Xenopus tropicalis: one gene and its partner. The protein of the gene in region 2 purifies or fractionates together with the protein of the main gene of each other region. This does not show direct contact. Links are inferred from orthologs where the notes say so. Each region holds a gene or a part of one and is shown on either strand. Other genes may lie near its edges.

Region 1 (4,282 bases), on a different chromosome or scaffold from region 2:
TGAGAGCATACCGCCACTTGTTCCCTTGGTTAGGAAATCACGAATGATCTGTGTTTTGCTGTTGTAGCTTGGCTGTTCCGCAACCATTGCACATAGCTTGCGGAACTCACGCAGAAGACAGTCCTTATGTTTTGGGTCACACTTTGCAGTTGAAAGACTGGAGCCAGTGCTTGAGCTTGGTGGGCTTGATGATTGACTGGGTTTTGCTGTTAAAAAAAGGCACTACAATTAATTCCAAGATGTCCAAGGCAAATGATGAACAAAAACAATACAATATATTACATTAATATTAGTTTGCTGGGAATATCAGATTTAAAAACCACACACAACTTAACCCATTTTATAACCGCAAAAACAAGTTATAAAATAATGATTGCAGAAAGAAAGAAAAGAATACAAAGCATATAAAACAAAGAAAATAATGTTTACATGTATATCTATTTGGTGCTACCAGAAATGTCAGTAACTATTGGCTGGGAGAGGAGTGGTGAGTTAGTTATGATTAATAATGGTGTGATTCCGATTAGTATCACAATTTTACTGTGCTAGAAATAAAGCATTACCAGAGAAACCTGAAAATTTTAGAGAGGGACTAGCTGCTGGTGCTGTAGTGGAAGTTGTTCCTTGTACTGCCGGTGATTGTTTTTCCTTGGACGGAGTCTTTTTTCGAGGTGTAGCTGCTGTTTTTGTAGCAAGTTCTGTAAACAAAGGAAAGTCATATTAGTAGCGTGTGTACTAGCTGTGCAATAACATAAGAACTTATTTGGAACAGTTACTTTTGGAACTCAAAAGCTAGTTTCATCAAGGCCTTAGGTCATGATGTACAAGCCTTCTACCAATCTGAACATAGGATATTACCTATAAGGTTTTCAACAGATGCATTCAGCTCACCTACAACTAAGTGCTTTACCTATGGTTGATCAACACAGGGTTGCTGTAGCATGAACACATGCTTCAGACTCAGCTACTATTGCCAACTTTTGTGCTCCCTGCCCACTGTTCTGCTGATAGGCTGCTGGGAGGGGGGTGATATCACTTCAATTTGCAGCTCAGCAGTAAAGTGGTGACTGAAGTTTATCAGAACACAGGTCAAATGGCTGTGGCACCCTGGAAAATGAAGAATATGGCTAGCCCCATGCTAAATTTCAAAATTAAATATAAAAAAAAAAAAAAAAAAAAATCTGTTTTCGGTTTTGAAAAACAGATTTCAATGCAGGATTCTACCGGAGAAGCTCTATTAACTGATGTGTTTTGGAAAAAAAAGCATGTTTTCCCCATGACAGTATTCCTTTAAAGTACATGTAAAGCCTACTTTTGCCTAGAATGTATATCAGTTGGGCATGTCTCCCCCACTCAAATGGCATCATCTGTACTGCATATATCACCTACATTTGCTAGCACCATCACATTTTCCTAAAGCAAATAGCAACTTTCACCCGGTGGAATTTTTTCCTCTGATACATTTTAATCTGCAAACAGCATACACACATACACACACACAGACCCTTATTCAGAACACATTTCATCAAGAATACGGGCTCACACAGGCACAACTGCCTGATACAAGTTCTGCTTTGTTTGAGCTGAGTTCAGGAGAGTTGGTTGGGAGAACAAAATTGAAGCAGACAGCTAGAGCGGAGTTTCTATGGGAACCAGCAATGCCATCTCTTCACTGGCTGCTAGACTGGAGGGCATGTTTAGTAATCTGAGCTTTTAACAACGGAGCATACCCACAAGCCAGAAGTCAAAGCAAATTTCTGAGGGAGGGGGCCGAGTGGGTTACAGGAGGAGAAGGAAATCTAAGGGGATGCTGCAGCCTTATTATTAACCTCTGGACAACTAGTGTGGCAGGTATTTAAAGATTGAAAGAGGCTGTTCACTGATTAAAATTGTGTGTGTGGGGTTTACATGTCCTTTAAGATATAACGGAACGTGGCTTAGAATTACATCTTTTATTATGGAAAGCAAATTATTTTTGGCTGGACATCTGCTGTAGAGCACTGTTGGACATTTTAGATTTTTATTGCGAACTTAATATAAAATGGTTACAAAATCAATTGTAAGCCAGACAAACAGTATGCAAGTAGAGGTTTACCAGTGACATGCTGGCTGATTAGGTTTTTATCACAGTCTTGAAGTTCCTGCCAACCTTCCAGTTCTGTCAGATCATCAATTTTTTTTGTAGTTGCCCGCGCTCTCTCCAGTTTCTCAAACATGCACTTGATGTGGTACCACTCCTTCATGTCCCCAGCAGACTCGCTAAAAGGGTTTGGCACTATTTTACCTATGCGTACCAAACCCTTTCCAATCTTCTCCTTGCATTTCTTGCAACCAGCAGTCCCACGTTTTGCATATTCCACACAGTATCGCTGTTCCGCCATGTTGGAGAAATGTGTAACTCTTAAAAAGAATTGGAAGTGCAAAGCACTGTGGAGAGGCGACTGGCTCCAACAGGCATGAAAAATAACTCGTAAAGGAACTTTTGTTAAGGACTGGCCAAGTGTCCTTTTGGTCTGATATGCCAGAAGTCTAAGAAATGCCCTCATAGACCACCTAGTTTAAAAGATAAAATATTTTAGAGACAGATTTTAGGCAGCAGTTTGAAAGTGAAATCATTGCAAGGGGCAGTACAGGTATCGGACCCCTTATCCGGAAACCCATTATCCAGAATTACGAAAAGGTCATCTCCCATAGACTCCATTTTAATCAAATAATTCACATTTTTACTTAAGGTAGGAGATCCGAATTAAGGAAAGACCCTTTATCCGGAAAACCCCAGGTCCCGAGCATTCTGGATAACATGTCCCATACCTGTATACCCACTTGTGGAATATAAGTTCAGTTACAAGGACTGGTGAATATACTTGCCTATTGCTCTAATAATGAAAAATCTGTTTTCTTGTTGCTTCTTGACCTAAACAGGAAAGTAAAGGAAATAGACAGTCCATATTACTACACGTGAAGGAATAAGACAGTACATATAACCAATAGCAGCAACATTGACATGTATTCAGCAAATCAACCTGTTACTATAACACAGACAAACAAATTAAAAAGCCCGTTGACATCTGAAAATGGTTTTATTTTCACTAGACCATTAGAGAAACATGGATTGGGAGTTGGATAACAGACAATATATAATAGTAAGAAAATGTACCTTAATTCCACAAAATATCTTGGATCCTTAAAGGAGAAGGAAAGTCATTTTGGCATTTTACTGCCAATAGATTTGCCACATTAGTGCCACCTATAACAATATATTTATTCTGCAGAAAACATTACCATACCTGAGTAAACAGCTTTAGAAGCTTTCTCTGTTTGCTTAAGATAGCAGCTGCCATTTTAAGTAGCTTCCTGCCTGCAGTCTCTAGCAGTTATAGCTCAGATCACACATTCCTAAGGGAGGGGGGGAGGGAGTTCTTAGCATTCTGGTGGGAGGAGGAGCAAGAGAGGGGAGAGAGTTGCGCAGACTCTGGTCAGGGGAATTAAGGATGTTTCTGAGAGAGAAAGTCAGACACTGGAACATCATGCTTACAAAATAAAAAAGAGACAAAAAAATCCTGTGTTTCTTTTGATAGAGGACTCAGTGCAGCATTACTGTGAGTGCTTATGGCTGTATTTATGGTTGGCTTACTTAGTTTTTACCTTTCCTTCTCCTTTAAGTAAACCCTAACCCATTTAGGATCCTGCTAAAAAACCATATAGGATAATAAAGAAAATGTAAACAACTTTCCCATAAATTATCGAATAACTGCAAATCCCCTGAAAACGTATAGAGGAAACTGGCTTAGAATTACATTGCCTCTCATTATGCAAAAACAGTTTTCAGATGGCGATCCCCTATAACGGTGACCCCCAACAAGTGGCTTGGGAGGCGAGTTTGGACGCAGAGAGACCGTTTTACTCAAAATATGGGGCCACCAAATAGCCACGTCACAGCCCTAAAGCTGGCCATACACGTGGCGATCTGACGATGTTTCGTGTGACCATCAGTCGCACGAAACATCGTCAGATCCGCCACACACCATTCAGGGCTGAATTGGCAGGTAAGGAGGTAGAAACAATAGGATTTCTACCTCCTTCTGCCGATTCAGCGCTGAAGGGAGATTTTGGTCAGGCGCCTTATCAAAATTTTCAAACTGGTCTGATCGGCGAGTCGGCCGATATCAGCAGCTTCCTGCGATATCGGTCGCCTCGCCGACTTGCCATACACGCACCGAATATCGTACGAAACGAGGTTTCATACGATATTATCGGTGCGTGTATGGCCAGCTTTATTTAG
Region 2 (4,332 bases):
TCCGACTAAATATCAAACCTGCCCGTCGTTAATGACCATACACGGGTCGATAAGCTGCTGAATCTGTCTAAGGGACTGATATTGGCAGCTAGAATCAGCCTGTGTATGGCCACCTTAACTCTGCTCAATAATAAGGCAGCACAGTGAATGGAATCTCATCAAGATATGTTTGTATAAAGGGAACACTGTGTTTTGCTTATTCTGTTATACTGAGAAATAATACAAACATAATAATGACGGAATAGAGCAGAACACTGTCATACACATAGAGCTGGAAGCAAGAGGGGCAGTAGCTGTCTTGCAGTGGCCTTGGCCCATCACATATACTCATCAATACTATGTGCCAATTTGTATGGAGGGCCAAATGAGACATTATCCAACAATGCAGAGTGAGAGCCACATATTCCGGAGATAATTCAGCATGCTGACACCAAAGTCCATTGCTCTTACTGATTCTGATAGGAGGATGGGTTATATCTTGACTTGCAGCTAAAGTTTGCACATTAAACCAATATAAAAAAGCAAATTATAAACACATCCAAATATATATTATATTATATATATATATATATACACATGCAAAGAGCAGACACAAAGCGGGCAGCAGGCACCTCACCTGTAAGCATTGTATTTGTGAATAGCTCTATTGACATTCCTCTCATAATTAGCCAGCTCTGGAATTGCAAAACAAGACATTATTGTGTGATACTTTTTATCACAAGCACAAAGAGATTATGACAAACATGACAAAACATTTTGAGCATTTTCACAATTTGTCACCAAATCATTGCAATTGCCCTTTGCAGATTTTTTCCCCAGCGACAATTTTATACTTTTTGGAGTTTTTAACCACTGCTGGCTACTATTTTCTCATGAAGAAAATATTTCTTGTTGAGGACGAGTTTCCTAAAGGCGTATTATAATTCACAGAGTGTGGGAAACACCTTAAGTGTCTTTTTGCCTCATAGGGAAAATGCCTATTGTCAGTTCAAGGCTGGCGAACCAATGGGCTTTCGTAAATAGGGAAATTGTTGAGGAATTTACAACTGCAACAAAAAGTCAGAAAACATTCTTGACATGTTGACATTTGATAAACAGGTATATATACACCTTCATGTACATATATACATATACATCAGCAGCTAGGCTGACCTGATAGGGAACTGAAGCCTGTCTTTGCTTGTGTGACTGCAGGGCTGTGATTGGCTATCCACCTCCTACTGTGCTTCTGGCAGGGACCATTAGGAGATGCTAACCCACATTTAAAACATGGACACGGAACCAGGGAGGATCTATAGGGAGCTCCAATACAGGGGCCATTTTTACAGATAATATTAATTTTAAGAACAACGTGAAACCAGCATCATATATTATTCATAATTGCCTACAAGATTAGAGGTTTTTTCCGGTAATCCTCTGTGTCTCCTTTAACGGTCATTAGAGTCCCATTTGTAGCTAGACAATCAGAGACACAATCCACTTGGTATTTTTTATTTCCTTTGTAGTTTATTAATTTTAAGTAAACTGCAGTTTGGTTTCTAGGGTGTCCATACCCTAGCAATTGCACCGCCAAGTTAAACAAGCCTGCAAGATTGAATTTTACATTTCATGCTAGAGAGACGCAAAATATGTGTATGTATATCTTTGTTTATATATAAAATAATATATAAAATATATATATGTATATACGTTTTGGGTATGGTAAGTGAGGCATAAAAAGTACTTAAAAATAAATAAGTGTTGTCTTGTGAAAATGTATTTCCAAGCAAGTTTATACATTGATTTAGAATGTATAGAATTACATTTTGCCCATTAAGCCGCATTTTATAATCGCGCCAATTAAAGGCAACATTAGTTTTACAAACGTACGCATCCCAGTTATGGAGTAAGCCTCCACAGATGACTGAATTAAGGGGGTGTACAGTTATCGCAACATGTATTTCTTAAAGGGCAACTAAACCCATTTTTATACAACAGCATTCCTGTGCCCAAATGCAGGTTTCCACAGCAGGGATAGCAGCCGCCATGTCACATTCTGCCAAAGGCTCTGGGGTAGTGATTGCTGAACTGCAGCGAGGGCACTGAGGGCGCAACCTGGCCCTGGCAATCACCATGAAAGCTCTGGCTGGATGTGACACAACAAAACCAAGCAATCACCAACCCTGGGAGATGTGGTTGAGGAGCAGGGTCTCTATTATGTCAAAATGTATTTAGTTTTCCTTTATGGTACCAGCTTCAGGTGTCATGTTAAATGAAAGGCAATCCCCTCAGCTTTGCAGCTGCATTAAGTACAACTAGCCCACATCTTGCAGCTGCATTTAGTACAACTAGCCCACATCTTGCAGCTGTATTTAGTACAACTAACCCACATCTTGCAGCTGCATTTAGTACAACTAGCCCACATCTTGCAGCTGCATTAAGTACAACTAGCCCACATCTTGCAGCTGCATTTAGTACAACTAGCCCACATTTTGCAGCTGCATTTAGTACAACTAGCCCACATCTTGCAGCTGCATTTAGTACAACTAGCCCACATTTTGCAGCTGCATTTAGTACAACTAGCCCACATTTTGCAGCTGCATTTAGTACAACTAGCCCACATTTTGCAGCTGCATTTAGTACAACTAGCCCACATCTTGCAGCTGCATTTAGTACAACTAGCCCACATTTTGCAGCTGCATTTAGTACAACTAGCCCACATTTTGCAGCTGGTCTCCTCTCTATACTCCCCCCCTCCACAGTGATCCCATAGTGGCAGTGAATAAAGGACCCGTTGATTGGCAGCTTGTATGTAACTGTATATGTCTAGCCCTCTCTCTCTCTCTGGGGCCCAAAGTTCCAAACCCGCTCCTACCTACGAGGAAGTCGGTGATGCCTTCATTGAGGCTCTCTTGCGGGGCTTTCCTTTTGCTCATGTCGGCCTCTTTCTCTCAGCAGCTTGGGTAGGTAATCGAGACCGCAGGCTGAGGCTTCGCTGCAGGCCCGGACGTACCGCATGACACGTCAGCACGGATTGATGACGCAAAGGCCTGGCAAGTAGATGCCGCCATATTTAATCAGGGAATTTGTTACAGTCTTGTCACAAAACCCTTTGCAACAGCTACTCAGTTATTCACCTTGCCGATGTCTTTCCTTTATTTTGTCATTTCAGTTACTGGTAATGTTGAAATTTGCGTGGAGAAAATAATACTGACTTTGGTTAATATATGGGGACCAAAATGAACACGAATGCATGGGGCAAATTGGGTTTGGCCACGCCCCTTGTCTGTATTGATAAACTAGAGGTAGCTAGGATTTGCTAGAGCAAAAGATCAAACTTGTTGGCTACAGGGTCAGTCTGGGTTGGTTGGACACCTGGGGGCACATTTACTAATCCACGAATCCGAATCACGAATGGGAAAAAATCGTATTGGAAACGAAAATTTCAAAAGATCGCAAATATCACGAAAATGCTTATGAAAAAATCGCATTAGTCACGATAATATCGTATTGGCGATCTGAAAGTCATGAAATTTTCGTACCGAACAATTGTAAACAGCGGTAAAACCTTTCCGATTTTTTCGTGCAAAAGTCCGAAAAAGTTGTGCGGTGTACGAAAAAGTTGTGCGGTGTACGAAAAAGTCATGCGGACGCCCGAAAAAATCGGCGAAAATACACTCGGAGCATTCGCATGAACGCTCGAGCGTTCGTGCTTTTGTAAATGTGCCCCCTGGAGAACCTAGTGGGCATTGCCGACACAGGTCAACTCCTCTGATGAAGCCACCGGGGATCTGTCATGATTTTTATGTTGTACTTTTTATTTCTAAACTACACAGTTTACATAGCAAATAGTTCACGCTACCATTTAAAATGTTATTCTTGAACCAACAAATGTATTTAGCTGTAATATTGGTGTGTAGGCTCCATCTCAGTGCATTGTGCCTGAGTCTGAGCTTTCAGAAGGAGCCAGCGCTACTCATTAGAACTGCTTTCAGCTAACCTATTGTTTCTCCTACTCCCATGCAACTGGAGGAGTCCCAAGTCGGACTTGGATTTCTTACTATTGAGTGCTATTCTGATACCTACTGGGAGCTGCTATCTTGCTCCCTTCCCAATGTTCTGCTGATCGGCTGCTGGGAGGGGGGATATCACTCCAACTTGCAGCTCAGCAGTAAAGTGTGACTGAAGCTTATCAGAGCACAGGTCACATGGCTGTGGCACCCTGGGAAATGCAGAATATGGCTAGCCCCATGTGAAATTTCAAAATTAAATATAAAAAAAAAATCTGTGTTGTTGATCAACAGATTACAATGCAGCATTCTGCTGCAGAAGTTCTATTAACTGATGGGTTTT

The links.
Region 1: the proteins of polb (region 2) and lig3 purify together in Homo sapiens (affinity purification with mass spectrometry; 3 studies listed by BioGRID and IntAct, counting the BioPlex papers as one, with this or other methods). This does not show direct contact. The link is inferred for Xenopus tropicalis from reciprocal best matches to the Homo sapiens genes POLB and LIG3.

Annotation. Positions count from the first base shown.
Region 1 is NC_030686.2:27,256,326-27,260,607, forward strand, and holds the start of lig3 (DNA ligase 3), read right to left. Parts: upstream 2,902-4,282; 5' UTR 2,869-2,901; intron 2,554-2,868; 5' UTR 2,547-2,553; coding exon 2,096-2,546; intron 699-2,095; coding exon 564-698; intron 207-563; coding exon 12-206; intron 1-11. UniProt on the Homo sapiens protein: Isoform 3 functions as a heterodimer with DNA-repair protein XRCC1 in the nucleus and can correct defective DNA strand-break repair and sister chromatid exchange following treatment with ionizing radiation and alkylating agents.
Region 2 is NC_030679.2:130,632,471-130,636,802, forward strand, and holds the start of polb (DNA polymerase beta), read right to left. Parts: upstream 2,960-4,332; 5' UTR 2,916-2,959; coding exon 2,855-2,915; intron 675-2,854; coding exon 617-674; intron 1-616.